Linked DNA regions of Arabidopsis thaliana. The protein of the gene in region 4 purifies or fractionates together with the protein of the main gene of each other region. This does not show direct contact. Each region holds a gene or a part of one and is shown on either strand. Other genes may lie near its edges. The genes, in order: AT3G18860, UBA 2, UBA1 and PUR4.

The links.
Region 1: the proteins of PUR4 (region 4) and AT3G18860 fractionate together in Arabidopsis thaliana (co-fractionation; one large-scale study listed by BioGRID). This does not show direct contact.
Region 2: the proteins of PUR4 (region 4) and UBA 2 fractionate together in Arabidopsis thaliana (co-fractionation; one large-scale study listed by BioGRID). This does not show direct contact.
Region 3: the proteins of PUR4 (region 4) and UBA1 fractionate together in Arabidopsis thaliana (co-fractionation; one large-scale study listed by BioGRID). This does not show direct contact.

The regions. Positions count from the first base shown.
Region 1 is NC_003074.8:6,500,010-6,507,670, reverse strand, and holds the start of AT3G18860 (transducin family protein / WD-40 repeat family protein), read right to left. Parts: upstream 6,004-7,661; 5' UTR 5,898-6,003; coding exon 5,832-5,897; intron 5,394-5,831; coding exon 5,062-5,393; intron 4,746-5,061; coding exon 4,642-4,745; intron 4,425-4,641; coding exon 4,356-4,424; intron 4,146-4,355; coding exon 4,085-4,145; intron 3,871-4,084; coding exon 3,731-3,870; intron 3,310-3,730; coding exon 3,120-3,309; intron 2,946-3,119; coding exon 2,884-2,945; intron 2,708-2,883; coding exon 2,619-2,707; intron 2,142-2,618; coding exon 2,069-2,141; intron 1,989-2,068; coding exon 1,929-1,988; intron 1,833-1,928; coding exon 1,686-1,832; intron 1,599-1,685; coding exon 1,560-1,598; intron 1,457-1,559; coding exon 1,419-1,456; intron 1,334-1,418; coding exon 1,247-1,333; intron 1,143-1,246; coding exon 977-1,142; intron 656-976; coding exon 578-655; intron 469-577; coding exon 332-468; intron 73-331; coding exon 1-72. Other genes in the region: LPAT5 (lysophosphatidyl acyltransferase 5), read left to right, coding at 6,831-7,384, 7,465-7,595.
Region 2 is NC_003076.8:1,968,114-1,975,043, reverse strand, and holds UBA 2 (ubiquitin activating enzyme 2), read right to left. Parts: upstream 5,085-6,930; 5' UTR 4,966-5,084; intron 4,815-4,965; 5' UTR 4,806-4,814; coding exon 4,484-4,805; intron 4,143-4,483; coding exon 3,925-4,142; intron 3,732-3,924; coding exon 2,937-3,731; intron 2,728-2,936; coding exon 1,859-2,727; intron 1,778-1,858; coding exon 1,345-1,777; intron 1,259-1,344; coding exon 662-1,258; 3' UTR 517-661; downstream 1-516. Other genes in the region: AT5G06470 (Glutaredoxin family protein), read left to right, coding at 1-385; AT5G06450 (Polynucleotidyl transferase, ribonuclease H-like superfamily protein), read left to right, coding at 6,555-6,930. UniProt on the Arabidopsis thaliana protein: Activates ubiquitin by first adenylating its C-terminal glycine residue with ATP, and thereafter linking this residue to the side chain of a cysteine residue in E1, yielding a ubiquitin-E1 thioester and free AMP.
Region 3 is NC_003071.7:12,851,812-12,859,457, reverse strand, and holds UBA1 (ubiquitin-activating enzyme 1), read left to right. Parts: upstream 1-1,730; 5' UTR 1,731-1,947; intron 1,948-2,072; 5' UTR 2,073-2,088; coding exon 2,089-2,419; intron 2,420-2,781; coding exon 2,782-2,999; intron 3,000-3,296; coding exon 3,297-4,091; intron 4,092-4,503; coding exon 4,504-5,372; intron 5,373-5,697; coding exon 5,698-6,130; intron 6,131-6,229; coding exon 6,230-6,826; 3' UTR 6,827-7,129; downstream 7,130-7,646. Other genes in the region: AT2G30105 (LRR/ubiquitin-like domain protein), read right to left, coding at 7,550-7,646. UniProt on the Arabidopsis thaliana protein: Activates ubiquitin by first adenylating its C-terminal glycine residue with ATP, and thereafter linking this residue to the side chain of a cysteine residue in E1, yielding a ubiquitin-E1 thioester and free AMP.
Region 4 is NC_003070.9:27,922,217-27,929,838, forward strand, and holds PUR4 (purine biosynthesis 4), read right to left. Parts: upstream 5,747-7,622; 5' UTR 5,549-5,746; coding exon 5,507-5,548; intron 5,249-5,506; coding exon 4,828-5,248; intron 4,745-4,827; coding exon 4,176-4,744; intron 4,077-4,175; coding exon 1,700-4,076; intron 1,604-1,699; coding exon 789-1,603; 3' UTR 509-788; downstream 1-508. Other genes in the region: AT1G74250 (DNAJ heat shock N-terminal domain-containing protein), read left to right, coding at 1-31, 141-198; AT1G74270 (Ribosomal protein L35Ae family protein), read right to left, coding at 6,199-6,240, 6,335-6,563, 6,954-6,989, 7,219-7,250; AT1G74280 (alpha/beta-Hydrolases superfamily protein), read left to right, coding at 7,542-7,622. UniProt on the Arabidopsis thaliana protein: Essential to the male gametophyte development. Phosphoribosylformylglycinamidine synthase involved in the purines biosynthetic pathway.

The DNA.
Region 1 (7,661 bases), on a different chromosome or scaffold from region 4:
AAGCAACGTCGAATAAGCCAACTGCAGATTCTTATTTGGGGATGAATAACAGTTTGAGAAGGCATCAAGAATCTGCATTGATCCACAGCAATTAAAACCACTTCTCAAATTATTATAATAAACACACACATGTATAGGCACTATCTTATGTTTAAATGTAATTAGAAACTTAATTTATATGCCCAGACGCAAAAAAGCAATGTATATTAGACATAAAACCCAAAAATTTCTCCTCAGGTTGCAAGTCACAGCTAAACCAATTAGTAGGTTCATCGAGATCATCACACATCCTAGTTCTGGTATAAAATCATAGAAATGAAAGAGTCCTTACTTGACTATGATGCGTCTGTAGCCAGTAATGAAATGAAGAATTCTTGAATAGATTAACAAGGACACGAACAGTCGTTAAAAGATTTGCAGGAAGAGCAGAATCTTCTGTAACTTTCTTTATCAAATCCAAAAGCAGGTCTGATTGATATATAGTAACAGAGAGATACCAGTTAATAAAGGACATTACCTACTAGCTAGTACTTTCATTAATGTTGAGAAAGCATAGCTTCACGAATTAGATGATTACCATTGTTGTTTTCCACATGCTTGATAAGTAGACTTGCTCCATGATGATGCAAAACGAGCATCCTTACTATATCAGTAGCTGCATATTCAAAACCATAGGTATAAGAGCTTGACACAAGATAAACATAAGGCTATATCCAACAAAAGACAAAAATAAAGTGGCCAGCGAAAGGCAAAATGCTTTATGGCCTGCAAGAAACATCAAAAGAAACACAAGGAGACCAAGAATAACATCCAAATAAACCAAAACATATCTCATTTTAGATTGTTTAACAAGCATCTCGGAAAAAACTGACTTTGCTGTGGCTTCATAATATTGAGAAACATATGGCTACCATCAAAAGTTCAATATGTAATAAACAGTTCTGTTTGACTAATTGATTGACAAGAGAAGACCAACCAGGAAACATCATTGCCGGTGGCCATGCTTGTAGCACTTTCAAAAGCAAAGCAATATCCATGTCAGCAAAATTGGTAGAGTGGTAGTGTGATGTGTCCTTCAGTATATTAACGATTGCGCCTACTCTGGATACTTCGAGTTCGGTCAGGGACTTGTCATTGTTTACCTTCAAAAGATGGAAAAATTGTAGAAACATAAATACCAACAATAGTATAAGTAAAATAACCATTTAATCATTTTGTGTGACTAAAGTTGATACTGAAAGCTTACTGCGTCAGATCGTAAAGTAGTATTGAACTCTGTCATCTTTTTCAGAATCCCGTCATATTGAGCAGCATCGAAAACTAGCACACCTCTCTGGAGAGAGTTATGGAAGAAAAAAGGATCAAAAAGCTAGAAACATTAAACAGTAATAACTAATAAAGAAAGAGAACCAGCGTACTTTTGGAATGTGCTTGTATAAAGGTTTTGCCGGAGTTGCTGCAACAGAAAAGAGTCAGAGCATGAGGCAGCAAAAGAACAATACAAGAAATGAAGAAATTGAAAGTATTATGTGAAAATGACACAGACAGTGTATTCATACCAGCTGTACGAGATGCTTGCCCAGGCACATAAGCATTTGCTGTTACACAATAAAAGGCAAAACACAAAATTAAAATAAAATCCTAAAAACAAAATTTCAGACCAATTATTTTCAAAAATTTTATACCGCCGGTGAAGGGATCACGAAAAGATGGATTAAAGTTGAAGTCTTTCTGCCCAGAATTTTGTAATATAAATTCAACAATTTGCTGCCGATATGCAAAGGGGAGATTCTCTTTTAGAAGCCACTTGTCAGCTGCATCATAAGGATTGTCTGCCAAACAAGAAAAGATTTGAAGTATCAAAAACTGAAGCAGTTTCTTGTGGTTGCACTTGTAATAAAACAAGGCCAGTAAGAGCATTCAGGTACCTGATCGATTGTAAGGTAGCTTCCGGATAGGTTCCCCATCACCAATGTCAACATCGAAAACTAGAGAAAAAAAAGGGCTAAGAATTTTGTTCTTCGATTTTGAGAGATTCTCAAGTTTCCATAATAGGTCAAAATCTAACCAAAATCATATTGAACTCCCTCGTGAATTGGACGATCAGCCACACCATCTGGGCCATCAACAACCTCACCAATCTGAAAAAAGGCATGCAGTGAGAACTCAAAACATTCTACCACACTAAAAAGCCAATGTTTAATCCTTCATATGCAAACAAATGTTAGAGAGAAATCTATCTCATTTACTTGCTATCTACTTAAGAGATTGCTACTTCGAAGGAGGATCAGAAGTCAAAATCAGATGAAATTTTCCTCTCAGGTATGGGTTGCCACATTAAATAAAATCCTCGCAAAAGGCAAATTGCTGGCAGTACATGCTATCAATTTATGACCAGACAGCATGCTCATTCGTGGAAATTACAAGCCCTAATCCGATGGCAACTTTTCGATGAACAAAGTAACAAATATTCCTCAAGGTAATTGTTTCAAAGGGAAGTTATCTGTATATTCATGCATGCGATCTAATATATAGCAAAGCCGCATTCAGGTCAAGAGCAAAAACGAAATGCAGTCGACAAATAAAAAAAAAGATAAAAGTTCATTCTGTTTACTTACTTTGTCCCATCTCTGTTCTTTCATATTCCATGCATAAGCAACACCATTGTCTCCTTCCCTTACTACTTTTGTCTGGCCATCACTGGTACCTGAGAACATATATCAAATAAGAGAGGATGATGTTACAAGAATGCCAGCTTAATCTATTCAAATTTGATCGCCAGACACTATCAATTATCTTTGTGTTCTCTTGAGATTCTTTAAAATTTAGCCTTTCTCCCGTACGAAACATTAATATTACAATTAATTGGATAATAAATGGTACCTGGTGACGTCAAAGAATCAAGCCCTGGCAGCTCGTCAAGTTTCAATCCGCCAACCTTTTTCCTGAGATAAAGAACAGCACGCATATACTTTGCAGTTATATTTTGAGCATAAAAGACAAGAAAGCATACCCCGTCAGCAGGTCATATAATATGCATTGCCACGTGAAGAAAAAAAACTCAATGGACATAGAATTTAGTCGATAAGAATAGAGATCACCATAAATGATCAGATTACCTGCTTAGTTTGTATTGAGAAATTTGGGAATCATAGGCATCAATCTCCATCTGATCTGCAATCGCATCATGACGTACTGTCCAAACACGAACCACTCCATCTGAACATGCTGTCACAATATCTCCGGTTTCCAAAAACTTGGCATCCCAGATACAGCCTGGGTGTTCCAAACTCTGAACGCAGACTCCATCTGTACCAAAACAAAAATAACAAAGTAAGAACAATAGATCAACCTATAAGATCTAAACATGCTTTAAACCAAAATGTCAGTCTCTTTTCGCAAGTGATATCTATTATAACAGCTATTGCAGACCAATCTTCGTGAGCCTTTCAAACTGGTTTCTGATCAGTTGATTACTGTCTGACATACTAACAACTAACTTTCCATAGGTTGCAACTAAGTGATCAAATTTATAACACGTCTTCCACAAAAATATGATATATAGACATCTTTATTATTGAAAGAAAACTTTAAGAGCGAGCAACATACTGAAAAGTGGAGACATATTTTCCAAATTTAAACATCTCAGACCTCATATAACCTAGAAAACTGTGAAACATAAGTGAAGAACAGCCAAGGCATCAATAGAAACTAAGGAACCCGTAATCACCTTTCCATATCTTGGCATGACGATCTTCACTGGCACTAACAATAAGGCCAGACGAATGTGCGTCAACTGAATAAACAAGGGAGGTGTGGCCAACCATCTCAAGAAGAACTTCGCCACTTAGTGCCCATAACCTGATTGAACTGTTAGAAAAAATAAAATAGTGATTTACAACCTTTGCTGTGTACAAACACATGAAAGGATAAATAAGAGAAAACTCAAGTATCATATTATCCCCGGATCACAAAACTTATCCAGGTCATGCAAAAGACAACACAATTCGAGTTAAGCACATAAGGATTCACTTGGACAATGAAATTCAGTAAGGCATGAGTTTGTTGGAAGCAAATAACTTACCCATCATGTGATGCGGAAAGAAATCCTAAATCAGGCATCACAGCTAACCCTCTAACAGTATCTGCATTGTAAAATAAAAATACTTGTATAAGACAATAGTTTCTCCAATAACAAGGAATCCCTGACAACAGGCCAGTGTCTTGGCACTTCACAAGATAAGATATCTTAGAGCAGCTAGTATCAGATTCTATCTTATTTCCGGTATGCAGTTTCTCATATTGACAAGGAAATTTTGAGAGATACGAAATTTGGGAGAGAGTAATGAATTCACCTGTATGCCCTGAAAGAGTTTGCAGACTCGTTTTACCCTTCCAGAGTTTGAGACTGGCGTCACTTGAACCTGGTAAGTACAAGTAACATCAGTGAAAAATATGCCGTCAAGCCTAATCAAAAAGAAGTATATGCATCTTAAGAACAACCAAAAAATCATTTAACCTAAGCTTGCAAAACGATCATACTAGAAAATACAATCGAATAAGGAAGTCCATGGCAGCAAGAAAACAACAAAAAAAACAGAAACAAATGCATCAAATGACAGCTTTAGCTGGATCATGTACCTGAAACGAGCTCACCAGATGGCAGCCTTATCACTGCCTGGATAGGCGACTGGTGTGCATCCCAAGATTCAACAAGCTGACCGTTTCTCCATCGTTTCAGGGTTCTACAAATAAAAATAAATAAATGTAAGTTACATTACACAACAGTAGAGGGTAAATCAAAATTTGATGGATCTCTTTACCCCAGTATTACTAAAGCTAGTAAGCTACTCAAGACAATAATGCACACAATTAACACTCATAAAACCTTTACAACTACGGTTAAGATTCATATAATATCCTGTATGTGATACAATTCCTGGGAAACAGTGAAGGAAAACCGCAGGCTAGTACACTCACTGGATACTAAGTAAGAGGCATTATTGACTAAACAGTTGGTAAATGTCATACTAAGGAAATTACATGAACAGGAGGACTTACTGATCAACTGAAGATGAAACTATGTCCTCATTATCAATAGCAACACCAGTGACTTGCATCTGATGACCCTTCAATGTCTGAATATTCTCTCCATTCATCAGATTCCAAACAAAAACGAAAGTATCCATACTCCCAGAGACAAGTCTTCCTTCAGGGTATTCATCAGTTGGTGGGATCCATGCAAGTGGCCCAACAAAGCTAGTATGACCCAGCAGAATTTTCTCGGAGGTATACTTGCGCTTATCAGATGGATCCAGTGACCAAACCCTTATGGTCCTATCTCTTGATGAAGTAGCTATATTCTCATCATTACACACACAAATCCCACGAACCTGAAGATGTTGATAAACCATGAGTTTCCATTGTCACAATCACAGTTATTATTCAATTGCATAAGCTCAATAGCATAAAGACAATCACACTCCTGCCGAAAAATTGTATAAATTTGATCTATATTAATGCCATTGGCACGCAAGGTTAAACATCAAACCCTATTAGATAAAATTCTCAAATTGAGTACAAATTCGTTGAGAAGTCAACCTAATAATAAAACTAATCAAAACAAAGCTTCACACTAACTATCAAATCAGCTCATTGAATTGAAAAACCCTGGATCAAAAGCGGAACAGTGAAATTGGAATCACGAGGGTGAATTTTGCTGAACCCTACTGAATACAAGACTTAATTTCAAAATCTAGAGTAGAATCGATCACGAAAACGAGAAATCAAAACAGTAGAAAGAAGAAGTGGATTTAGCAAAGAGATCTTACATCATCATCGTGGCCATGAAGCTCGCACCTGAGCTTGTACTCGTTGAAATCGATATCCATGACCATGACTGAGAAGGAGAAGCAGCAGATTGAGAGATACCAAACGCCAAATTGCTGCGACTCAAAAAGTGACTTGAGGAAGGAGAAACACTCTGCAGGAGAAAAACTAATTTCTTATTTCCTTTCTTTTATATAAGGATAAACGTATAATAAATAACCTTTGTGGGCTTTCAAAGCCCGGCCCAATTGATAGACTGAAAATAATAATAAGCTGAATAAAGGGAACAATGAAACACGATGACGTGTCGAATTTAATAATGACGAAAAAGGAGGGGACAGTGGTTTAAATTTCCTCACCTTCCTAAGAGTACTACTTTCTACGAGAAGTGGCATAGACCGTAATTAGCAACAACCTCTGAGCCTATTTTCACAAAACGATCGTAGTCCTTCATGATATTTTTCTCGGCCATTAAATTCTTCTTCTTCTGCACTGTTTGTTTATAAATAAAACCTGGAAGCTCAGTTCCATGGTAAGCTGTCTTCTTCTATCTGGTTCCTTTCTCTGTCTGAATTTCTTTTTTCCAATAATAAATTTTACAAATGCTGTGTTCTTGATTGGCTTTTTTAATCCTCACTGAGATTTGTGCTTGAATCTTGATTATCTTGGTGAGAGTTTTTGTTTTAGACAATGTATATATGTGTTTGAGAATACAAGCTTCTTCTTTATTTTAATCCAACATTAATCAGATTGTATGAATTTGAATAAGTCTATTAAATTACAAGACATTGTTTTCGTTTTCTGTTGATAAAGTACTTTGCTATCGATTCTTATTTTGATGTGTCTTTGATCATTACCTGCAGGTGAAGTATGTTGTGTTCAACCATATGAGCTCTGATGGTGATTCTGGTAACAGGAAATTCATGAACTTTGTGATTCATTGCATCAAGAATAGAAGACTAGAAGGGGGAGGTTAATTAGATTATCTTAAGGTGTATAAAATGGAAAAAAAGAGTGTACCAAATTCTGATAAGTTGTCTCTGATTAGAGTGTTAAGAGGTATAATATGTCTGATGGTGTTAGTTTCAACAGCTTTTATGATGTTGATATTCTGGGGGTTCTTATCAGCTGTAGTGTTGAGGCTTTTCAGCATTCGCTATAGCCGTAAATGTGTTTCCTTCTTCTTTGGCTCGTGGCTCGCCTTGTGGCCTTTCCTCTTTGAGAAGATTAACAAAACCAAAGTTATCTTCTCTGGTGATAAGGTTCCTTGCGAGGATCGAGTATTGCTCATTGCAAACCACCGAACAGAAGTTGATTGGATGTACTTCTGGGATCTTGCACTGCGTAAAGGCCAGATTGGGAATATCAAATATGTGCTTAAGAGTAGTTTGATGAAATTACCTCTCTTTGGTTGGGCGTTTCACCTCTTTGAGTTTATTCCAGTTGAGAGGAGATGGGAAGTCGATGAAGCAAACTTGAGACAGATAGTTTCGAGTTTTAAGGATCCCCGAGACGCTTTATGGCTTGCTCTTTTCCCCGAGGGCACAGATTACACGTACGTTTCCTTTCTTTGGAGTATCATTCTTGTTTAGAGACCTTTTAGTTAAAAGCATTTTACAATGGAACTTTATGCAGAGAGGCTAAATGCCAAAGGAGTAAGAAATTTGCTGCTGAAAATGGCCTTCCGATACTGAACAACGTGCTGCTTCCCAGGACAAAAGGTTTCGTCTCCTGCTTGCAAGAACTGAGTTGCTCACTTGACGCAGGTTTGTCTATACTTTTGCTGGTTTGCATCAGTGATTTAAGATCCTAGGCCTTTCCTCTCTTCTTGA
Region 2 (6,930 bases), on a different chromosome or scaffold from region 4:
ATTCTTGTTGGAGAATCACCAGGTGATGTATAGAGAGAGAGACGTTTCCATGGATTCAGAGTTTAGAGAAGAGATGTGGAGGTTGCTTGGTGGGAAAGTTACCTCTCCGAGGCTGTTCATTAGAGGTAGGTACATTGGTGGAGCAGAAGAAGTTGTGGCATTGAACGAGAACGGGAAGCTGAAGAAGCTACTACAAGGAATCTCACAGGTTGATTCACCTTGCGAGTCTTGCGAGAACGAAAGGTTTTTGATATGTTCTAGCTGCAATGGAAGCACAAGATTGCTTGCAGAGCATCACGATGAAGAGAGTAGTAATGATAATATGTGGACAAGATGCAGAGAATGTAATGAGAATGGACTTGTGAAATGTCCTCTTTGTACGTAGTTGCTGTTATAAGCTAATAATAACTATCTGATTTTTAACTTTGTAGTAAATGATGTGTGAGAAAAACGTTTTGTATTAGGATTGTTTAATCGTATTATGTTTGTAATGAATAAGTGAAAAACACCAAATTTGAAAATTTAGTTCTAAATTTTAAGAAGTTAACTCTATTCTCATACATCAAAACTCTCTCTATCTCTGAAACTCAACTTCATATCCCAAGAATACAGTAATTATTAAAAGCTTCTCTCGTTGGGGACGTTAATTAAAATTCTCTAATCAGGCGAAGTAGACTGATACGAGAGGGATATCAACGTCAGCATCATTATCATCTTCACAAGCGACTACAACATCCACGTGACGTCTATAAGCAGGCAATTCAACCCCAGCCACGTCTCTTGCAAGATCCACCACTCTTCTGTTCATCCTCTCTTTATGCCTTGAGAACATACTGTTGTACAGTAAACTGCTTCCGCAAGATATGCTGTATGCGTTTAGCCCTTTCTCTTTTAGCCAGTCTAGCAACTCCCTTAGGGTCGGGTTTCCCCTCATCACCCACCGGTCCCAAACAGTCCAGCTTTGGTCTTGGTGCTTCACCACTTTAGGTGGAACCGGCTCAGCCATGGAGAAGAGCGGAAGTGCTAAGTTAGCAAATGTGTTTCTGTAGTCTTCTACTTTGTGTGACCCGTCTAAGACCTTGTACATCTCAAGGCAAACAAAACCTGTTGCCATTGCAGTTGATGTCGCAATCGCGGGTATGATTCTTCCGGCTATGAACTTGGCTTTAAGCTTGTCCACCTCGGGAACACTGTAGTTCCTTGCTCTCATGTTGGCTAGCCCAGCGATCATATCCATGTGGTAGTTGGTATCATCGTCCTAAGAACAGCAAAATAATGTTAGTTTGTTGCTCTTATAATTCAAATACAGAATCTGAAAGATACTTGGATACATTTATGATTCACCTTTTCAAACTGGATTGCCTTCATCCTGAACTCTGGCTGCAAGCTCATCCTGCACCGCACTAGTTTTGCGTTTAGTTCATCGATTACTGCTGCATCATCGACTGAAGCTGTAGACAAAGTTGTAGCCTTCTCATCTGTCACAATAGTTGCATCTTTCTTCGGCTCAAAGTCGGGGACAATTACTCTTTCCACAGCCTCGGCTAGTCCTGCTCGGGTTTTAGCCCACTCAGGAGTAGGGATTCCGAATGTCTCTGCTCGCAAGATAGATGCAGCCATGACAAAGTTGATATGGCTCAGGTCGGTTGAGGAGAATTGGAGTGGGCGAGGAAATCTCTTTGGGGCAGACCAGAACGGAGCTCCTGTACTAGTAGCAGCATCCTCAGGAAATGTGTAACATAACTGCTTCACACGGTTGGCGAAGTAGTCCTCAAACCTGTAAGCAAGCAATTATGTAAAGAGAAGAAAATCATTTTACATATAGTCTCAATGAAGGGTGTGGGCCAACAGAGAGTACCTCAGACGAGCCCAGGTTATGCAATCCTGGAATGAATTGCACTTTTCTTTCTCGAGGCACTCAACAACACGTCCCAAAGTATCCCTTGCTTGGGCATCACCAGCAGTTCTCATCGCTTTCATGTATTCAACAGGATCTGAGAGGTATGCATTAACTTCAGCTGGTGTTTTCTCAAGCAAACCCTCAAATTCAGAGCGAGCCCATGTTAAGCAATGATCAATGTTGTGAGGAAATGAGTGCACGGTGCACATTGGAGCCTGTTTCTCTGGTGGGTCTCTCGAGGCACCATAGTTCTCAGTGAGGTGAGGGATAACCATCTGTGTGTTGCACTTTGCACCTAGGGTTCCTGACTCGAGGAGAGGCTTCTGGAAATACACACACCTTGAATCAACATAAAGCCTTGCAGTGACATTGTCCAAAGCGTTCACCACAACTGTCAAATTCTCCCAGAAGCTGTCGTCAAAGACATTCTCGGTCTCAGGTCCAACACGATTTTGCAGAGCATCAATGTTGAGGCGAGAATTTATTCCAGCTGCTGCTGTTGCGGCAACTGTGGATTTAGCCTGTCCTATGTTCCAATCTCGAAAAAGAAACTGACGACTCAGGTTGCTCTTCTCAATTACATCATCATCGGTGACAGTTAGCTTCCCTTGGGTGCCACATGACACACCCATCAAAGCCAAGTTCTTTAAGAACTCGCATCCAAGAGCACCAGCCCCTACAACAAAAACTCTGGCATCCTCGAGTTTCTTCTGAAGAGTAGACCCAAATACAGAGATCTGTGCATCGTAACGGCTATTTTGTGGTCTAAACTCTGATGCATCAAGAGGTTCCTTGGGGAGTGACTCCACCGAATCAAAGTAAAAGAACTGCACAAATAATGCAAACTAATTACCACATTACCAAGTATAAAAGAAATACTACTAACAAGGGAAGAGAAACTTTAGTCCTGGTATAGGACTCATGTAGAGTAAATGCCTGTATAACATAGATGAACAGCATTGCTCAACAAGTAGAAGTTTAACATACAAAGACCGAACAGATGAGCCCCTGAAAAACCAAACAGAAAAGTCTTTACCTGAAAGATAGGATGGAATTTCCCAGAGCATGCCTTGACAACCTCCTGCCCAACAATGCCACCAAACATTGCAGCCATAGGATTCAGAACAGCCCTGGATCCAAAGGCCAAATGCCGCAACAGTTTAGAGTTGACATCTTCCAACCTTGCATCACCCAAACCCTCATTAATGTCAACTGCAATTTCCACTAGTTTCTGAGCATCTTCTTCTGAACCAGCAAACGGAAATCGGCCTGCTTGAGACGAAAACCTATCAAGTGCTTGGAATGCTAAGTGGAGAAGAGGTGGTCGGTCAAACTTTGAAAAGTCACTTAGAAGAAAGTCGCCTGGATCTTTAAGTGCTTCTCTAAGAGGTTTAAAGTTCAACACCTTTGGTTGTTTAACCTGAGTCACAATGCCACCCTTCATATATTGCCCATAGCTAGAGGTGTCTTCCTCCAGGGTAAATGAAAATGGCTTGACATTTTTTATCTTCCTTGGTTTTCCATCATTTAGCTCTGTCATTCCCTCAACTTCAGAGAAAACAACCAAATTTCCATCTTCAAACTCGAGCCTCTCATCATCGACACACGAAACAAATCCAGGATTTTCATTGCTAACAGAAGCGATGATGCCAGAGTGAGGTTCCTCCCCATCAACATCAAGAACAGTAAAATGAGGTCCAAAATCACAAAACAAAGACCCAAACAGCCCCCTAACATCAGCCTTGATGAATGCAATAGGAGGCTGATGACTGTGACAATAATCATCAATCTCTGTCGCTTTCTCAAAAGAGATATCCACAAATACCACAACCTGCATCAAGGAAAAAAAAAAGAAATCAACCACTAAAGCCAAACATTCTGTACTTTTAGTAGAAACGTTTTCATCCACGTTCAGTCACCTCTAATCTCTTTTACAGATAATTATGTCCATGAATCATGATAGTATTATTAACAACTAGAACAAGGAAGCAAAGACAAACCAAATAAAGGAAGGGTTTGGATACCTGGAAATCAGAAAGCTGCTCTTTGGTTAACTTCCCAGTCAAAGTTGAGACAGCCACAGCATTGTTGAGTTCTTGCAACTTGTGAACAGAAGCAAGTGCTCTATTCTTACCAATGTCCTCCTCCGTGAAAACAAAGTTACTAGATAGGTCCCATAGCTCAACCACATTTTCATCGTGAAGGGTCACTGACTTCACACCAGCTAGAATAATATTCTTGGCTAAATAAGAAAAAAAAAAAAAAATCATCCATCAGAAAGAAGGAAATAACGAAGAGAATAAAGAGCTATACCAGTCATTAGTTCATTACAAATCTATAGTGAATATTGAATAATCCTTCCATTATATAATGTGTCACTAACTCATTAGAAAATCAGGATTAACAAGTTAATATACCAATTTTACAATCTCAACTTCAAGTGCCCAAATGTACACACAACATCAAAACAGCTTAATCACGAAATACGTTTGCTCAAGCTTGAAGCTCTTTAACAACCAGCAGGACAAGCACAGGAATAACATGCAAGCAGAAATTAACAACGAAAAGTACAAAAATCGTTACCAATCTCAACACCAAGGCCCTGCATCCCAGAGATGAGAACGTTGGAAGCGAAAAGCTTCCTCATAGTCTCACGGCCGTAAACGGCGAGCTGTCTGCTATGAAGATCTTCATCGATCTCCTGATTGTTGGAGTTGTCGTTACCAAACTCCGCCATGCTCATCACCGTATCGTTACCACCGATGCTGTTGTTCAAACCGATGCTACTGGAGTTAGAAGCGTTAATCGCAGAACCATCAGCTGACTCAGTGTGATCGATCCGTCGCTTCTTCATCGGCGAAGAAGCAGATGCGATGATGTTCTCCTTAACAACGAATGGTTCCATATAGAGTAACTGAAAGAGAATATGTATCAAATAAACAGAAGAAGCTTCGAATAACAAACAAAGACAATAAATGAATTCCGATGAGAAGGTTCCTAGAGCTAATCGATGAAGGAATCTGAAGAAGAAACGAGAATCGGAGGAAATGAAAACGAAACCGTACCTTTGAGAGAAGATCGGAGGCGATAAGCGGCGAATTTGTTGTTAAAGTAGAAAGAGAGAGTATACTAAGCTTTTGGCTTTGTAGGTTGTGTAGAAAGAAGCGGCGGTATATAACAAAAATTGGGCGATGATTGTTGGGCTTTGAAACTATTTGTGCTGAATTCAGAATCAGCCTGTGTTGTGTGGTAAGTTTTTTCGTTTTTTCAAGTGGACCAGTTTAAGATAAATATCTGGTTTTGGTCTTGTAACATTGAACCGGATTTGAGTATGCAATAGACCAAATTTTAATTCAGGTTAGGTGTGATTGAATTTAAACTTTGAAATTGTTAATCAATCAAGTTTTGTTTTTTATTTGTTGATTGATAAAGAGAGAGTAGTTGTTGGATATTTGAATGTGTGTCGTACTTGCTAATTCCTAAAGATTAATAGACATTTCAAAGAAGTGTAATAAGAGTGAAACTTAAGCATAATGTGTGGAAATGTACCTTATGAACTCAACCATTTTGGTGTGAGCATTTGTGTTTGGAAAATGATATGGGGATGCTCTCTCTATCACTTATACCAACAAACACAATCTATGTTTTATGTGTGATTTCTAAACGAAAAAAATAATATTAATGGATTTGTAGTGTGACTACATTAGCGTGAAAAAAAACTCTTGTATCTTGAGAATTTGACCAACATTGCTTGACAAGTATATTCACGGTTGTATGATAACGATGAAAAATGTCTCACATTATATTTCTTGTGTGAATTGGCGTTGGTAACAAAGATTGACAAGGACCCCTTAAAAAAAAAAGTCAAGAAAAACATTCAAAAGACATAGAATTTCGGTTGAACCGGATTGGTCAGCTTAAATTACTAACGTATGGTTGGTTAAGCAAGCTGAGGAAATGTGTCTCCATTTCGTGATTTCTTCTTCCCTCGCGGGGATTTAGTCTTCTCTCTTCCAGCAGAAACCAGAAGAACTGTTCCTCGCTTACTACGATCCCTAACCGGACGCGAAATTTCAAGGTTCGTCCTCCTCTTAACTTCTCATCAGTTAATGTCTCTTTTAAGTTGAATTTGACTAGTATGATTCCAATTTCAGATGATAGTTAGGGGATTTTATCTCTCGGATCGATCGTTTTGGGTTACAAGAACTAAGATAGAATCAAATGTTTTTGTTTCTCCATTAGTTAATTAGTCTAAGAGATATAGAACAAAAAGTTTCGCTTCTTTCTTGTTATCTTTTGATGCACAGAAAGGTCATGAAACCTAGAACTAGGGGGAGTGATCAATGGTATTTGTAGCCAAAACTAAAAAAAAAGTTTGTTTACCTCTACTTTGATCAATTCGATGCTAGATCATTGTTTATTCAATGTGTGGTCCTTTCTTCACCCAATTTCTCCAAGTTTCCAACTCATGAATACTTGTAGTTTTTTATAAAAAAGAGGAAACCTTATTGGTGCTCAAGTTATATGAGTGATGATTGGATTCACTATCTTACTTTCCACTTCTATTAGTATTGAGATAAGTTTAGCTACAACTTTGTCAGTTATCGTTGAATCTAATTTGATTTGTGAATATTCTTTAGTGTTTTTTCATCACATGGCCTCCTTTGATGGGCCAAAGTTCAAGATGACTGATGGCTCCTATGTTCAGACTAAGACCATTGATGTTGGATCATCAACAGATATCTCTCCATACCTTTCACTTATAAGAGAAGATTCTATCTTGAATGGAAACCGAGCGGTGATCTTCGATGTGTACTGGGATGTGGGGTTTCCTGAAACTGAAACCAAAACCAAAACGTCAGGGTGGAGTCTGTCATCGGTGAAGCTGAGCACTAGAAACTTATGTCTCTTCCTTCGACTTCCTAAACCTTTTCATGACAATCTCAAGGATCTGTACCGTTTCTTTGCTTCCAAGTTTGTCACTTTTGTTGGAGTGCAGATCGAGGAAGACCTGGACTTGCTTAGAGAAA
Region 3 (7,646 bases), on a different chromosome or scaffold from region 4:
AGTGTTCGTACTCTCCTCTTACGAGTTACAAGATTGAAGAGGTTTCCATCCTATAAAGACGATCAAGAATATATAATAAGAAATGCTTACTTTAATCAAGTCAATCTTCTCTTGATGTATCACAGGTCTTCACCTACCTTTTCGTAGTCACGAAGCCATTTTTCTTCTTCCTTAGCTTGCTTCCAGGTTTCAACTGCATCTATTATGCCTTTCCTTCTTAAAGCTTCAGATTTTGCTTCCTCATATTAGCATCCAATGCAGCACCAATATCAGATAGAGCACGATCACCTGACAAGATAACTTATCTTTTAAGCATATCTAAATTGCTGTTTTTTTCTTACAAATAGAAGAGTTCTTCACTTACCCTCATTATCAGTTAGCTCAATACTGCCTGTCGAGCTCGACAAAATGCCTTTAACTCGTATTGCTTCTGAAGTACATTCACCTTCAGGGTTTCCCCAGTTTTAGTTTTCTTTGCCACTTTGTCAGCCTTGTCTTTATTAGCAATCCTCTTCGTTTTGGGAGCACCAGTGGATTCCTTTCTTTTACCAGCATCATTAGTACTCGTCTTGGGAAGATATTTTGCACAACTCCATTTTTGTTTTTTCTTAGGGTGATGAATGACTTGGCCTGAGGTGAGAAATTGAGAGTGTAGAGACTTTTGCCTTTGTAGTTATACTCTGCCAAACTCCATCCTTTTAGCCAATCATCCACAAACTCTATGGGTAAATCATCATGATACCTTAAGTAAGCTAGTTTAGAAGAAGTGCTCACAACTTCTTGACCCATTTGAAACTGATGAACATAGTAATTGACACTGCCCCACTTTATAAGAGCACCATTGCAATTAAAATATCCAAGATGAACATTTTTAGTTGGATAAAAGAAGACCCACGACTTGTTGCTTTCTCCCTCTAGAAATTGAAAGTTGATGAAATCTCACTCCCATGGACTGCGATCAAATATTTCAAGATCGTCTATCCATGGAATTGCAACATCAACTCCAAAATCTACACTTTTAACCAAACTAATCATAAGTTAAATTTCAATTTACAATCGTTTATTAATATAGTGATTAAGTAAGTTATCAAGTATTAATTTATAGAGTTTTATTTTTGTATAAACTAACCACGAGTTAAGGAGGTGTTATTGGTTTATGATTTCAAAAGAGTTTTAGTGACTTAAAGTATCATGTAGAATCTGTTGTTATTTAATCAAAAAAATTTAAAAGTATGTTAAAAGTTTGTGTTATTCATTAAAGATTTGTAAAAAGTAATCTAAAAATCTTCATAAATTTTAGATTATTGAATTCATACTTTTATAAAGTCAGTAAATTTTTTGTGTTATTCTATTAAAACAAAAAAATCTCTGATTGTTTATGATTTAAATTATTATGTTATTGGTTCATGACTTTCTACATTTTCTTTCACAAAATAAAGTCATAGAAAGTCATGAATTTTTTTTCAAAAGATTGTTTTGAGAAACTTTAGAAGAAAATGTATTTAATTATAATATTCATAGCTGGAAATTGATCTAATATTTAATTATAATATTAAAGTTTCCAGTTATCCAAAAGAAGATGTGAGTTTTTTTGAACTTGGTAATTAAAAAAAGAAAGCAATATTTCAGATTTAATACAGATTCATAAGAAGGATCCATAAGAAATTAACTAAACCGGATCTGGTCTTGAAATAGTGACGGACGCGTGTCCCCCGGTCAGAGAGTTGCCGTCACAATCACGCGGAGAAAGAGCGACAAATCAAACCTTAACCGTTAAAACGTCATCGTTTCATATCCCCCCACAACCGAACCCCTTTCGTTCGCCCGTCTCTCTTAAATAAATCTTAGAGATTTCTGCAAAATTCGTCACTTCAATTTCAATTTTCAGATCTCAAAAACTTTTTCTCTTTTCCGATTCCAATCTTCTCTCGTCTGCTTTCCTCAAAGGTACGTTTTATCTTCCTTCTCATAGCTTCCGAAGAATCAATCTAGGGTTAGGTATTTCAATTCTGATCGGATTTTCTCTCTTCAGTGTTCTCTAATCTAATGGGAATTTCACATGTTTTCTCCAGGTTTTTTCATCACTTTATGCTTCACAAGCGAGCTAGTGAAGCTAACGATAAGAACGATAATACCATCATCGGTTCCGATTTAGCATCATCTAAGAAACGCCGTATCGATTTCACTGAATCTTCGTCTGATAAGTCTTCTTCGATTTTAGCTTCTGGTAGTAGCAGGGGTTTTCACGGCGATAGCGTCGTTCAGCAAATCGACATGGCTTTTGGTAATTCGAACCGTCAGGAGATTGATGAAGATCTGCACAGTCGCCAGCTCGCCGTCTATGGTCGTGAGACTATGAGGCGTCTCTTTGCTTCCAATGTTCTCATCTCGGGGATGCACGGTCTTGGTGCCGAGATTGGTATGTACTTCATTGGTTTTATGTTGAGATTGTGGTCTCCCTCGTCTCTTTGGTTTTTGAAACTTGTAGAAACACTGTTTTCGTATGCGTCGTTATTAGAAGCTGTGAATAATTGTGTCATCTTCAAAGATTTTACTCTTTAGTTGTTTTGTTTTGGTTCTCCTGATCTGTGATTGCTGGTATTCTTCAACATCCAAATCTTAGTAGCTTCCTGATGTTCCTTAGTTGTTCGATATCTTTGTTATTGGGGTTTCGTTATATGCCAGTTTTCTAAGATGCATGGTAAATGTGAACTGTTAATGATACTTTTTAGTCGATTGCTTTCTCATTCAGTTTTTGTTTTATTTGTTGATTTTCTTCAGCCAAGAATCTTATACTTGCTGGTGTGAAGTCTGTGACCTTGCATGATGAAAGAGTTGTAGAGCTATGGGACTTATCAAGCAACTTTGTTTTCTCGGAGGATGATGTTGGCAAGAATAGAGCAGATGCTTCTGTTCAGAAGTTACAGGATCTTAACAATGCTGTGGTTGTCTCTAGCTTGACCAAAAGCTTAAACAAAGAGGATCTTTCTGGCTTCCAGGTTTGTAGACAACTCATTTGTCTTGTTATTGGTTCTATATGGTCTGAGTCTTTTGTGTACTGTATCGTTCTGTAGATTACTTGTGAGTTTATGATAACACTGTAACTGAATGAGTAACATAAGAGTGGGTTGTTCTATTTTCGTTGCATATAAGAGATGGGTTTTGTCTCATTTAGTGTTAGGCTATTTCTAGTGTTTATTGATATTGATATGGAAGATTGGTGTACACTTTTCTCATTGGTGTGTGTTTCTTGTTGGCGGGTTTTACGCTGATACATCTACTTTTGTGCCAAACAGGTTGTTGTATTCTCTGACATAAGCATGGAAAGAGCAATCGAATTTGATGACTATTGTCACAGCCATCAGCCTCCTATCGCTTTTGTCAAGGCTGATGTCAGGGGTCTTTTCGGCTCTGTCTTTTGTGATTTTGGGCCTGAATTTGCGGTTCTTGATGTTGATGGAGAGGAACCCCATACAGGCATCATTGCGTCTATCTCTAATGAGAACCAGGCATTTATTTCCTGTGTCGACGATGAGAGGCTTGAGTTTGAAGATGGTGACCTAGTTGTTTTCTCAGAAGTTGAGGGTATGACAGAATTGAATGATGGGAAACCAAGGAAGATAAAAAGTACACGGCCATATTCATTCACCCTTGATGAGGACACTACTAACTATGGAACATATGTGAAGGGTGGTATTGTCACTCAAGTGAAACAGCCAAAGTTACTGAATTTCAAGCCATTGAGGGAAGCGCTTAAGGATCCAGGGGATTTTCTATTTAGTGATTTCTCTAAGTTTGATCGGCCTCCACTCCTTCACTTAGCATTCCAGGCACTTGATCATTTTAAAGCTGAAGCTGGCAGATTTCCTGTTGCTGGCTCAGAAGAGGACGCTCAGAAGCTTATATCGATTGCCACAGCCATCAATACCGGGCAGGGTGATTTAAAGGTGGAGAATGTTGATCAGAAGCTTCTAAGACACTTTTCCTTTGGAGCCAAGGCTGTCCTGAATCCTATGGCTGCAATGTTTGGCGGTATTGTTGGACAGGAGGTTGTTAAAGCTTGCTCTGGAAAATTTCATCCTCTCTTCCAGGTAAAATTTCTTTTCTATAGACTTGTGAGAACACATATTTAGTCTTTGCATGCCAAGTTCTCTGTTCGAGTTAAGAATTTTAAACACTAGAATTTAAACTCAAAGCTCTCTTTTGTTAAAACCGAATCAAAGTAACAAGACAGAAGTTGAAATACACCCAAGAGTAATTAATTCCTAAGCTCTCTTCATCCCTATGTAATATATTAGAAGCTAAATGAAAGCTGTTTAGATAAAGTAAATAAAGAAATAGAAATTCTAATGAAAATAAGGAACATTATCTAATACGCATCTCTCCTTTTTCCTAATGTTTTATGTTGTGGGAAGTTACAGCTGTTTCCTCTTTTTTTGATACATTTATATTGTTTAAAGTTTCGTATTGGGATCTGATGTTGTGACTCTTTTTGTTTATCAGTTTTTCTACTTTGATTCAGTGGAGTCACTCCCCTCTGAACCTGTGGACTCGAGTGACTTTGCACCAAGAAACAGCCGGTATGATGCCCAAATATCTGTATTTGGGGCCAAGTTCCAGAAGAAACTTGAAGATGCTAAAGTTTTCACAGTAGGGTCTGGTGCTCTTGGCTGTGAGTTCTTGAAAAATTTGGCTCTGATGGGGGTTTCTTGTGGAAGCCAAGGGAAGCTGACAGTGACAGATGATGATATCATTGAGAAGAGTAACCTCAGTCGTCAATTTCTGTTCCGTGACTGGAACATTGGACAGGCTAAATCCACAGTTGCTGCTTCGGCTGCTGCTGTTATAAATCCTCGCTTCAACATTGAGGCCCTGCAAAACCGTGTTGGCGCGGAGACTGAGAATGTATTTGACGATGCCTTCTGGGAGAACTTAACTGTTGTCGTCAATGCACTGGATAATGTTAATGCGAGGCTCTATGTTGATTCGAGGTGCTTGTATTTCCAGAAGCCTCTCCTTGAGTCTGGAACTCTTGGTACAAAGTGCAACACACAGTCGGTTATCCCACATCTAACTGAAAATTACGGTGCCTCAAGGGACCCACCAGAGAAACAGGCCCCCATGTGTACAGTGCATTCCTTCCCGCATAACATTGATCACTGTTTAACTTGGGCTCGCTCTGAGTTTGAGGGTCTGCTGGAGAAGACTCCCGCTGAAGTGAATGCATATCTTTCTAGCCCAGTTGAGTACACTAACTCAATGATGAGTGCTGGTGATGCTCAGGCGAGGGACACATTGGAGAGGATTGTTGAGTGCCTTGAAAAGGAGAAGTGTGAGACCTTCCAAGACTGCTTAACCTGGGCACGACTGAGGTAATATCACTCTTAATAGTTAGTTAGATAGTCTAGTCGTAATATGGAATGAAATATAGTCCGGTGTCTTACTCATGTCCTGCTACAGTCTCCTATTTTATGCTTTTGTCATGTGCTTCATCCCAGGATTGCTTAATTATTCGTTGAAAACATCATTACGAAACTAAAAAATAAAATAAAAAACTAGGAACAGTGTTATAAGGTAACTTCATTTCACAACAGGTAGCTACAACCAATATGTAGAAGTGGGAATAAATCGTTTCCTTCCTCTGTGGAGTCTGTGATTTTTGCAATAATTTATGTGTTTGTTATGTTATGTGACTAGGTTTGAGGATTACTTTGTGAACCGTGTCAAGCAATTGATATACACATTTCCTGAAGATGCTGCGACTAGTACCGGAGCTCCATTCTGGTCTGCTCCAAAAAGATTCCCTCGTCCACTCCAGTACTCGTCGTCCGACCCAAGTCTCCTTAACTTTATCACAGCGACTGCTATTTTACGAGCAGAGACATTTGGGATCCCGATACCTGAGTGGACTAAGAACCCAAAGGAAGCAGCAGAAGCTGTTGACAGAGTGATAGTCCCAGACTTTGAGCCAAGGCAAGATGCAAAGATTGTGACTGATGAGAAAGCTACCACTTTAACCACTGCTTCGGTGGACGACGCTGCAGTCATCGACGATCTCATTGCTAAGATCGACCAGTGTAGGCATAACTTGTCGCCAGACTTCAGGATGAAACCTATTCAGTTCGAAAAGGTATATTACCCTCCAATGTTATCGTCTTCACTGATATTGACTTGTCTTGTTTACAATTTTTAACTGAGTGTTGTCATTTTGAATTTGATGTGTTTGTAGGATGATGATACAAACTATCACATGGATGTGATAGCAGGACTAGCCAACATGAGGGCGAGAAATTACAGCATCCCTGAAGTGGACAAGCTGAAAGCAAAGTTCATAGCAGGGAGAATCATCCCAGCCATTGCGACTTCAACAGCCATGGCTACTGGGCTGGTCTGCCTCGAGCTGTACAAGGTCCTTGATGGAGGACATAAAGTGGAAGCTTACAGAAACACATTTGCCAACCTGGCACTTCCACTATTCTCCATGGCTGAACCACTTCCACCAAAGGTGGTGAAGCACCGTGACATGGCTTGGACAGTTTGGGACAGATGGGTTCTCAAGGGAAACCCAACTCTTCGTGAGGTGTTGCAGTGGCTGGAGGACAAAGGGCTTAGCGCATACAGCATCTCTTGTGGAAGCTGTCTTCTGTTCAACAGTATGTTCACAAGGCACAAGGAGAGGATGGACAAGAAGGTTGTGGATCTCGCTCGGGATGTTGCGAAAGTCGAGTTACCGCCTTATCGCAACCATCTTGATGTAGTGGTGGCTTGTGAGGATGAAGATGACAATGACGTCGATATTCCTCTCGTCTCTATCTACTTCAGGTGAAAAGTTTCGAGAGAATGAAGAAAGATGAAACTCTTGAGAGCAAATTTGTGTGTTTTGTCTCTGCATCTGCCCTACGTTATTATCTTTTGGATGCTTGTGGGTGAGATAACTGATTTTTACTTGAGGGGGATAGAGACTCATTTTATCTCTCTCGTTCTATTTTAGTCTTTCTTTCTATGTACAATTGCTGAATGTGTGGTTTACACACCCGTTACCTTCTAAACATGTTCTATCAAACAAATCTTCGAGTTTTTCGGTTTTTTCCATGTCTTCTTGCAGGTGGTGTTTCGCGATAAGAATCCGAAAGATATAATCTACCTTAAATAATATCCACTCTGTGAATCTATTTACAGAGAACAAATTGAAGCAAAGAACTAAAGATATAATCTAGGGTCAAGTCTCGAGCACCACCTTCTCTTAACCCCAACCCAAGATTCTAGACTCAAAAGCTGTTTGCCTTTACTTCCTTTTTACCGGTTATACTGACTGACTCGGCTATAGAATTGATGAGCTTTTTTAACAATAGGTATCGTAGTTTTCGTTTATTCGGTTTCATTGCATAAATTTTGGATTCAATTTGAGAGTGGTTCAATTTATTTGGTACACTACAATTCAAATTGGAGTAAGCAAACAATATATAGGCATGAAGGAGAAAGATTTTTTCACTGAAAGTGCCACAAATATATTAAGAGTACTGACGATTCGAGACTCGACTTGGCTTGATCACCAAGATTTATCAGCGCCTTCGTCGAATTGGCCAGATCCCACAACACGAAAATCAAGCTGCTTTTGATGCTTGGTACGTCTTCTTTCATCAAAA
Region 4 (7,622 bases):
GTGATAGATGTGGAGAGGAGTTTGAGTCGAGGTTGGTTCATTAGATATTTGTTCTTTCGTCATTTCTCTTATGCTCCAGCAGTGTGCTTTGTATCATTCACCTGTAGTTTCTTAATATTGTGACTTTTCATGCTGGGCAGAACAAAACTACACAAGCACTTGGCTGATAGTGGTCATGCGACAGTGAAATCCCGATGATCCATTGCTCATTTTAAAGTGCATCTAAGGATTATGCAGAGAAGAACCAAAGGTTGGCTGGAGATTTGCATTCTTTGATTAAATTTATACATGGACACAATGAACAAGTGGGATAGAGGGCAAATAAGCTGCGTTTTTGACATTATTGTATTGCAAACCAATTGATGACCAAAGTTTGTATACCACTCCTTGTATGTTTGAAGCAATGATTTTGCAGAGAAGAAATCTATTACTTGTTCCTTTTCTCTTTGTCAAATCCATGTTTGGCATCTCAAAACCTCCCATGTGCGCCTCATTGTTCTCAAGAGATTCACTTACGGGAGAAGACTTTCCATTGATTAGCTAAGTAGGATACAAGATATCAGAGTTAGATAAACCCAACTTAGTACCCAATGGCACAAGATTGCTTGATTGATCGAAGAGAGTAACTCATGCTTAATTTCCAGAGTTTGAATACAACGTGAAGGACAAAAAGCACACATCAAGTCTCACTAAAAAGCACATGATTTGTCGACAACTTTCAAAGACTCTGCAAAACACCAAATGCACAACAAAATGATGCAGATAAAAATTATACTAAAAAAACACGCTTAACACGACTCTAACCAGTCCCTTGCATTCTGGAACATCTTCAACCACGGGCTCGGGCCAGCTTTCTCAACGTCCCAGCTTGTTGGGTACCATGGAAACTGCCACATCAAGAAACAACGTTCAGGATGAGGCATCATCGCCAAATGTCTCCCATCAGGTGAACATATAGCCGCTATTCCCAACGGTGAACCATTGAGGTTAAAAGGGTACGCTTCAGTCACGTTCCCATCATCATCACAGTATCTCAATGGTGCCAAATCTGAGTGAAGCATATGGTCCAAGACTCCTTCGTCCGGGAAATAAGCCCGTCCTTCTCCGTGCGCCGCCCAAACCCCTAAAGTACTTCCCTCCATTCCTTTCAGCATTATCGATGGCGAGTCCTTTATGGTCACGCTTGTGAACCTGCACTCAAACCTTCCTGATTCGTTGTGAACAAACCTCGGCTGCGAGGTGTCAAGTGACCCGCCAACTTGAGGACCTGGAACCCATCCTAACAGAGCCATTAACTGACATCCATTGCAGATTCCAAGACTGAACGTGTCTGGTCTTTTGTAGAACTCCTGAAATTGACTCAACACAGGCTCGTTGAACCTTATTGAAGCAGCCCATCCTTTGGCTGAGTCGAGAACATCCGCATAACTGAACCCTCCCACAAACACAATACCGCGGAACTGATCAAGGGTGATGTCTCCAGCTAGAAGATCAGACACTGTCACGTCCCAAGGTTCAAAACCGGCAGCGTAAAATGCAGCTGACATTTCTCTGTCTCCATTGCTGCCTTCTTCTCGGATCACTGCTACTTTTGGCTTAACATCTGAGAGCATATACAATAAACAAACATTTTCATTAGAAAATATACGCTATATAAATAATTAAAGATAAAAAAAAACCTCATAGAGAGCGATCATACCCTGAGACATATAATTATTGTTGGTCGAGGATGGAATAAATGAGAGTTTCCAATTAGGCTCATGCCTAAACTTCAAACCTTCTTTCTCCATCTCTACACAAGATGCCAATCGTTGCAGCTTTTCCAACTGGAAACTGGTGTCTTCCCACATGTCTCTGAGGAATGAAGTTTTCTCACTCAAATGAGTAATCCCATCCACTTTTACCTCTATCAGAGGCGAATCAGTGACATTTCCAATGATCTCAGCAGTAACATCGAAAGCACGGAGTTTTTCCATCACAGCGTCCAGGTTTGTCTTACTAATCTCAAGCACGAGACCAAGTTCTTCAGAAAACAAAGTCTCAAAAAGGCTAATTCCATTTGAAGCCAAGTCGAGATTTATACCTTTGTTTCCAGCAAAAGCCATTTCCAAAGCTGTTACTACCAGTCCACCATCACTGATGTCGTGTCCAGCAGATACCAAGTTTTCTGCAATGAGAGCTTGAACGCCATCGAAAACGTTTTTCAGATATGGAACATCATCAAGATCAGGACAGTCATTTCCTATCTGACCAAAAACCTGAGCCAGTGCAGATCCACCCAATCTCCTCTTTCCCTTTGCCAAATCAACATGCAAGAGAATACCATCATCACCTCCGAGCTTTAGATCCGGAGTCACTGTCTTTGTTATGTCTGGACAGGTAACATAGGCACTAATCACAAGATTTCCTGGAGCTTTAACAACCTCACCGTCCGCATGAGCTGCCATTGAAAGACTGTCTTTTCCACCATCAATTGCAATGCCAAGTTCAATCATCGCTTCAGATAGAGCAATCGCAGCATCATACATTGCTGATCCTTCTCCTTCAAGCTTGGCAGCATACATCCAGTTACCACTAGCTTTAACATCAGAAAGTGCAGTGACCTTTGCCCAAACCAGATTTGTCAAAGCCTCTCCAACAGCTAGCCTAGCCATGGCTTTTGGATCAAGCAAGCCTTTGATCGGTTGCTCACCAATGGCACATGCACCACCTGTTAGATCTGTGAATGTCTGTGCAATAACTGCAACATCAGCAAGCGTGATCTGCAATGGCCCAACTGTTTGTTGCTGAGCAACAAGACCTGTCACACATCTATCCACTTTGGTTGTCAAGAACCGCTTTGAAGAAACTGATGGTAATCGGAGAACTCTTTTCAAAGCATCCATCAATGTAATTCCAGGAGCAATATCAAGTGGCTCCCGTGCATAAGCAATGCGGTTGAACTTAAACGTCTTCTTAGGCATATCACCAAGAACCTTCTCGAGTTCAAGATCCACAGCAGGTGGAGGTGGAGGTAGCCCTTCTTTACTGCACTTCGCTGCAGCTGTGCTGTCAATTAAAGTACAGCGACCACCCCCATTAATTGTTCCAATCACAGCCATCGAAAGCCTTTCCCTCTTACAGATTGATTGCAAAATCTCCCGGCTCTCAGCTTTCACCAAAATCGCATCTTGCTCTTGATATTCTGCTCCCCATATCTCCAACACCGACATAGTATGATCACCCACAACAACCGCTCTTATGTCAATCTCTGCACCCTGTGGATAAATAATTTCCTTGACAACATTGCAGTTTCCACCAGCACCTTGATCATGAATGCTGATAATAGGATTCTTCTCACCCATCTCAATACAAGCACGAACAACACGGTACAACTTCTGAGACATTTCAGCATCTCCACGTTGCACAGCATTGAAATCAAGCTCTGCATCATTCTGGCCACTAACCATACTCGAAGCTGCTCCTCCTCCCATGCCAATGCGGTAAGCAGGTCCACCAATCTTAACAACAAGCATCCCAACCTCTGGCTCCCCTTTAGTTATATGAGTATGATCAATCTGTCCAATCCCTGCACTGAACATAATCGGCTTCAACCATTCTCGTCTATCCCCACTTGGCAGTCTCATTCCAAAAGTCCTAGTATATCCCTGAATCATGGGCTCTCCAAATTTGTTACCATAGTCAGATGCACCATTACTAGCGTCGATGAGTATCTGTAGAGGTGATGCTAGGTTCGATGGGTATTGGAAAGACGAGTCTTCCCATGGAGCATAAGATCCCTCCATGTTAAGGTTACCAACACAGTAACCAGAAGTGGATGCAACCACAAAAGAACCTCTTCCTGTTGCATGTGTATCTCTGATTCGACCTCCAGCACCTGTCTCAGCACCAGGATAAGGAGCCACAGCACAAGGGAAATTATGGGTTTCAGCAGTGAACAATATGTCGAGATCACGTGCACTGACATCAAGTAAGCACACAGAACCAGGAAGTAGAGGCCGTAGCTGGTTCACCAGAAAGCCTCTAATAGCACTAGAGTTATCCTTAAACCCAATGACAGAATTATTTCGATTTGCCTGCAAAATTCAACACAGAAGATAAGAGTGAATTATACGAACACACATTTCAAACTATAGGAAAGGAGAGAAATTTTGACTTAAGTCCTTTATTGTTACCTCCCAAGTGCTCTTTACAATCTGCATAAGAGACTTATCCATTGGCTTTCCATCAATAACCATGTTCCCAGCAAAGAACCAGTGTCGACTGTGCTCGCTGTTGGATTGAGCGATATCAAATAGCTCCACATTGGTAGGATCACGCTTAATGTCCTCTCTGAAAAGTCTAGTATAATACTGCAAATCTTGCTCATCAAAGGCTAAACCCATCTCCTGGTTGATTTCTTCCAGCGCCTTCCGACCCTTCTCCATCACAGGCACATACTTCACTTCTTCTGGAACCACATTCGTCTCGAATGAAACCAGCTTTTGAGTGTACACGCACTCGGTCATTCTATCATGAACCATTGCAGCAAATTCTTTTATCTGATTTTCCAAAAGTGGCTCCTTGCTGAACAAAAGGTACCTCCTTGACCTTTCCAAGCGAGTCACCTCGTCTAACCCACATGCTCTACATATCGAAACCGCATTGGTGGACCATGCTGTTGTGAAAGACAATCTGGGGCCAACTTCAACAATAACAGCATGGAGTCCTTCTTGCTTCTTCCTCTCAAGAAAACTATCCGTACCTGAAATTTAACTCAATCGTCAATAACAGAGAGGCCTAACAATATTGTAACCATATCATGATATAGCATGCAAATAACAGTACCTAAATTCTCTGGCTCATATGTTTCTTGAAGAATCCACTTTAGAACAGAAAGTTTTTCATCTTTTAACTTGGATTCAAGCCCAATATTGAAAGACTGTTCTGTAGTCAAACTGACAATCTGGTTGCTGATTTTGGTTTGAACAGCCTTGAGGAGTTCCGCGTTCGCGCTTTCTTGAATCAAAGGCACGCGATAAAAATGGATAACCTCAGCAGCAGGTTTCTCAACCAAGCTTGGTAGCTCATCAGCAGTAACAAAAGAACCAGTAGAAACAGCTGCTTTAGGTTTATTAGGTTGAGCAGAACATCTCAAGCTAACAGCTTTTGTTCGATTCAGAGACAGCCGTGAAGTTCTCATTCTAACAGAACCCCACAATTGACTCATTGAGCTCCGCTGCAAAAGCATCGCTTGTCTATTGGAACCCTGCAAAAAAACACTAACTTGTTAAAACGAAAACATTATGGATGCCAAATACCAAGAAGTTTCCAGTAAATCAGAGTCCTAAGTTACTGCATTCAACATCAACAGAACTTCAAATTCTCAATATAAAGTACTTTTCGAAATCATCCTTATAATCAATCTATGAAAAGATTAAGCAACAGAACGGAATCAAATAAGTTCATCGATCAATCGACACAAAACTTGGACCACTGATAAGAATAGCAGTAAGAGAATATTTACGTTTAGAAACAGAGCCGCACGAGTTGCTTGGGAGGTATTCATCGTCGCGAGATATGACCGGAACAGCAAACAAAGTGAAAAGAGGGTTTAGGGTTTTTCTCTGTTACTGTCTTAACGGGACCGAAGCTCCGACTCCGAGAGTACGGCAGTCGACACAGAGTTCTTGTCTGGTCTCTCTTCTCAACGAATCTTAGGTTTGTTGGTACTTTTTTGTTTACATGAGAACAAAATTCTGATTGAAAATTCTAAAGTTGAGCCTAGGTAAGCCCAATAAAGGTCTAATGGGCCTAAGGGCCGATATCACAAATCGAGTTTCAAATGTTTCAGTTTACAACTTCAATCAGCTCTTGTTTTTTGATTATTTTGAGTGATTTTCGATTTTCAGACTTCAACAATTAACATATGCCATGGATGATTCTGAGAATTTAAGTGTTTCTAAGAACTAATTATAAAGTTGTAATAGTGATTTGAGAAAATATGTTACCATTCGTCTGTTTTAATTCGTTATAAAAGGGGAAAAGGGAGTCTAATTTGGGATGAAAAACCGGATCCATGATCAAAGTCAATTTAGAGAATCTCCAAACACTTCAAACAAAGAAAGGAAATGCTTTCAATATCAAAATACAAAATAACAAACTAGTGAACAAAACCAAGGCGGCTAAATTATAAGTTTAAGCCATTTTTGCATTGCTTCATATGTTACTCGGATACATGAAGACTCTCACTCTGCTTCCCTGCAAGAACATAAGGAATAATATCTTGTTAAAAACCCAAGCAAAAGATTTCACTTCTAAACAGAGAAGATGATTATAGAATCTGTTTAAGTACCATGGACTTGGGAGGAAGGTTGGATGTGAATTTGGCACGGACAACACCGCTGTTACCGTGAGGCCTGGTAACCTTTCCCCAGATACAGCGGTAGTGGCTACCGTTCTTCTTTGTCTTAGCCTTGTAGATGTAAGCCATCCTCTTTCCCTTGTACCAGTTTACCTCCTCCTGAGTGTTAACTCCTTCGATCTGGACGAGGGACGTGTTTGGATACTGGTTGGACTTCGACCTGCACACCATAGTAAATGTCAGACCAGAGGAAGTATCAAACAGTAAGGTCTCGGTTTTCAGCATGACAAGGTTATTAAAGCAGAACTCAGTTAACAACAGTGTTGATTAATAGAAATACAAAGCAGCTCAAAAATAAAATGCCAGATAAGTGTCCTAAGAAATGTAGACAACTAACTAATCAAGAGTCAAAATGTTCCCATTTAGTGAAAGCATCAGACACATAATCTGATCATAAGTGGACGAGAAGCTTGGTTATAGGACTCGTTTCTGTCAAATTGGCTTACATAAATACCAATCAACGTTCATTACATGGAATCTTATTGGCGTCCAATCATAAGCTATAAGCAGTGTAAAATGGAAAACGAAAGCGATGAAAGAAATGGGTCACCTTTTGTATCCGAGGATGGTTCCCCTCACGTAGAGTCTGCAAAATTAGATAACATAAAAAGAATCAGACTTTCGCATTATCGATGATTACAAGATTACTAAACCATGAAGAATCAGCTCAAATCTAGACAATAACAATAGTAGCAAAACAGTTTCAGAAGTGAGGAAAACAGAGCAAATCTCAAATGATACACCGATAGAAAACCATCTTGGTGATATAGATCAAACTTGAAGAAGAACGAAAAGAGAAATAGAAGAAGAAAGACCTGACTCGTTCTCCTTGGCGTCCCTTGACCATTTTCGATTCCGCCGAATATCCAAAGGCTGCTGCTGCTACTCGAGGGAGAAAAACGAAGAAGAAGCCCTAATATGGGCTTATGGGCCTTAACACTATTGGGGCATTAGTATATTAAGCATCTTGGGCCATTACTATAATGAATAACATATAAAAATGGGCTTCTCTATTTTTATCTCAAAACAACAACAAAAAAACGATCTCTATGTTGTAGTTCTTGAACAGTTGGCTCTCTTTTCAAGAATCGTCGCCGTTGACCTCCGTGCCTCTCCGATCAACTTCCCATTCTTTTAAATGACGAGAGATTCATCAAGGAACAGCTCATTAAAGCCATGGCCTCGAAAAAAATTTCTTTTTCCTTCTGTTGTGATTGTC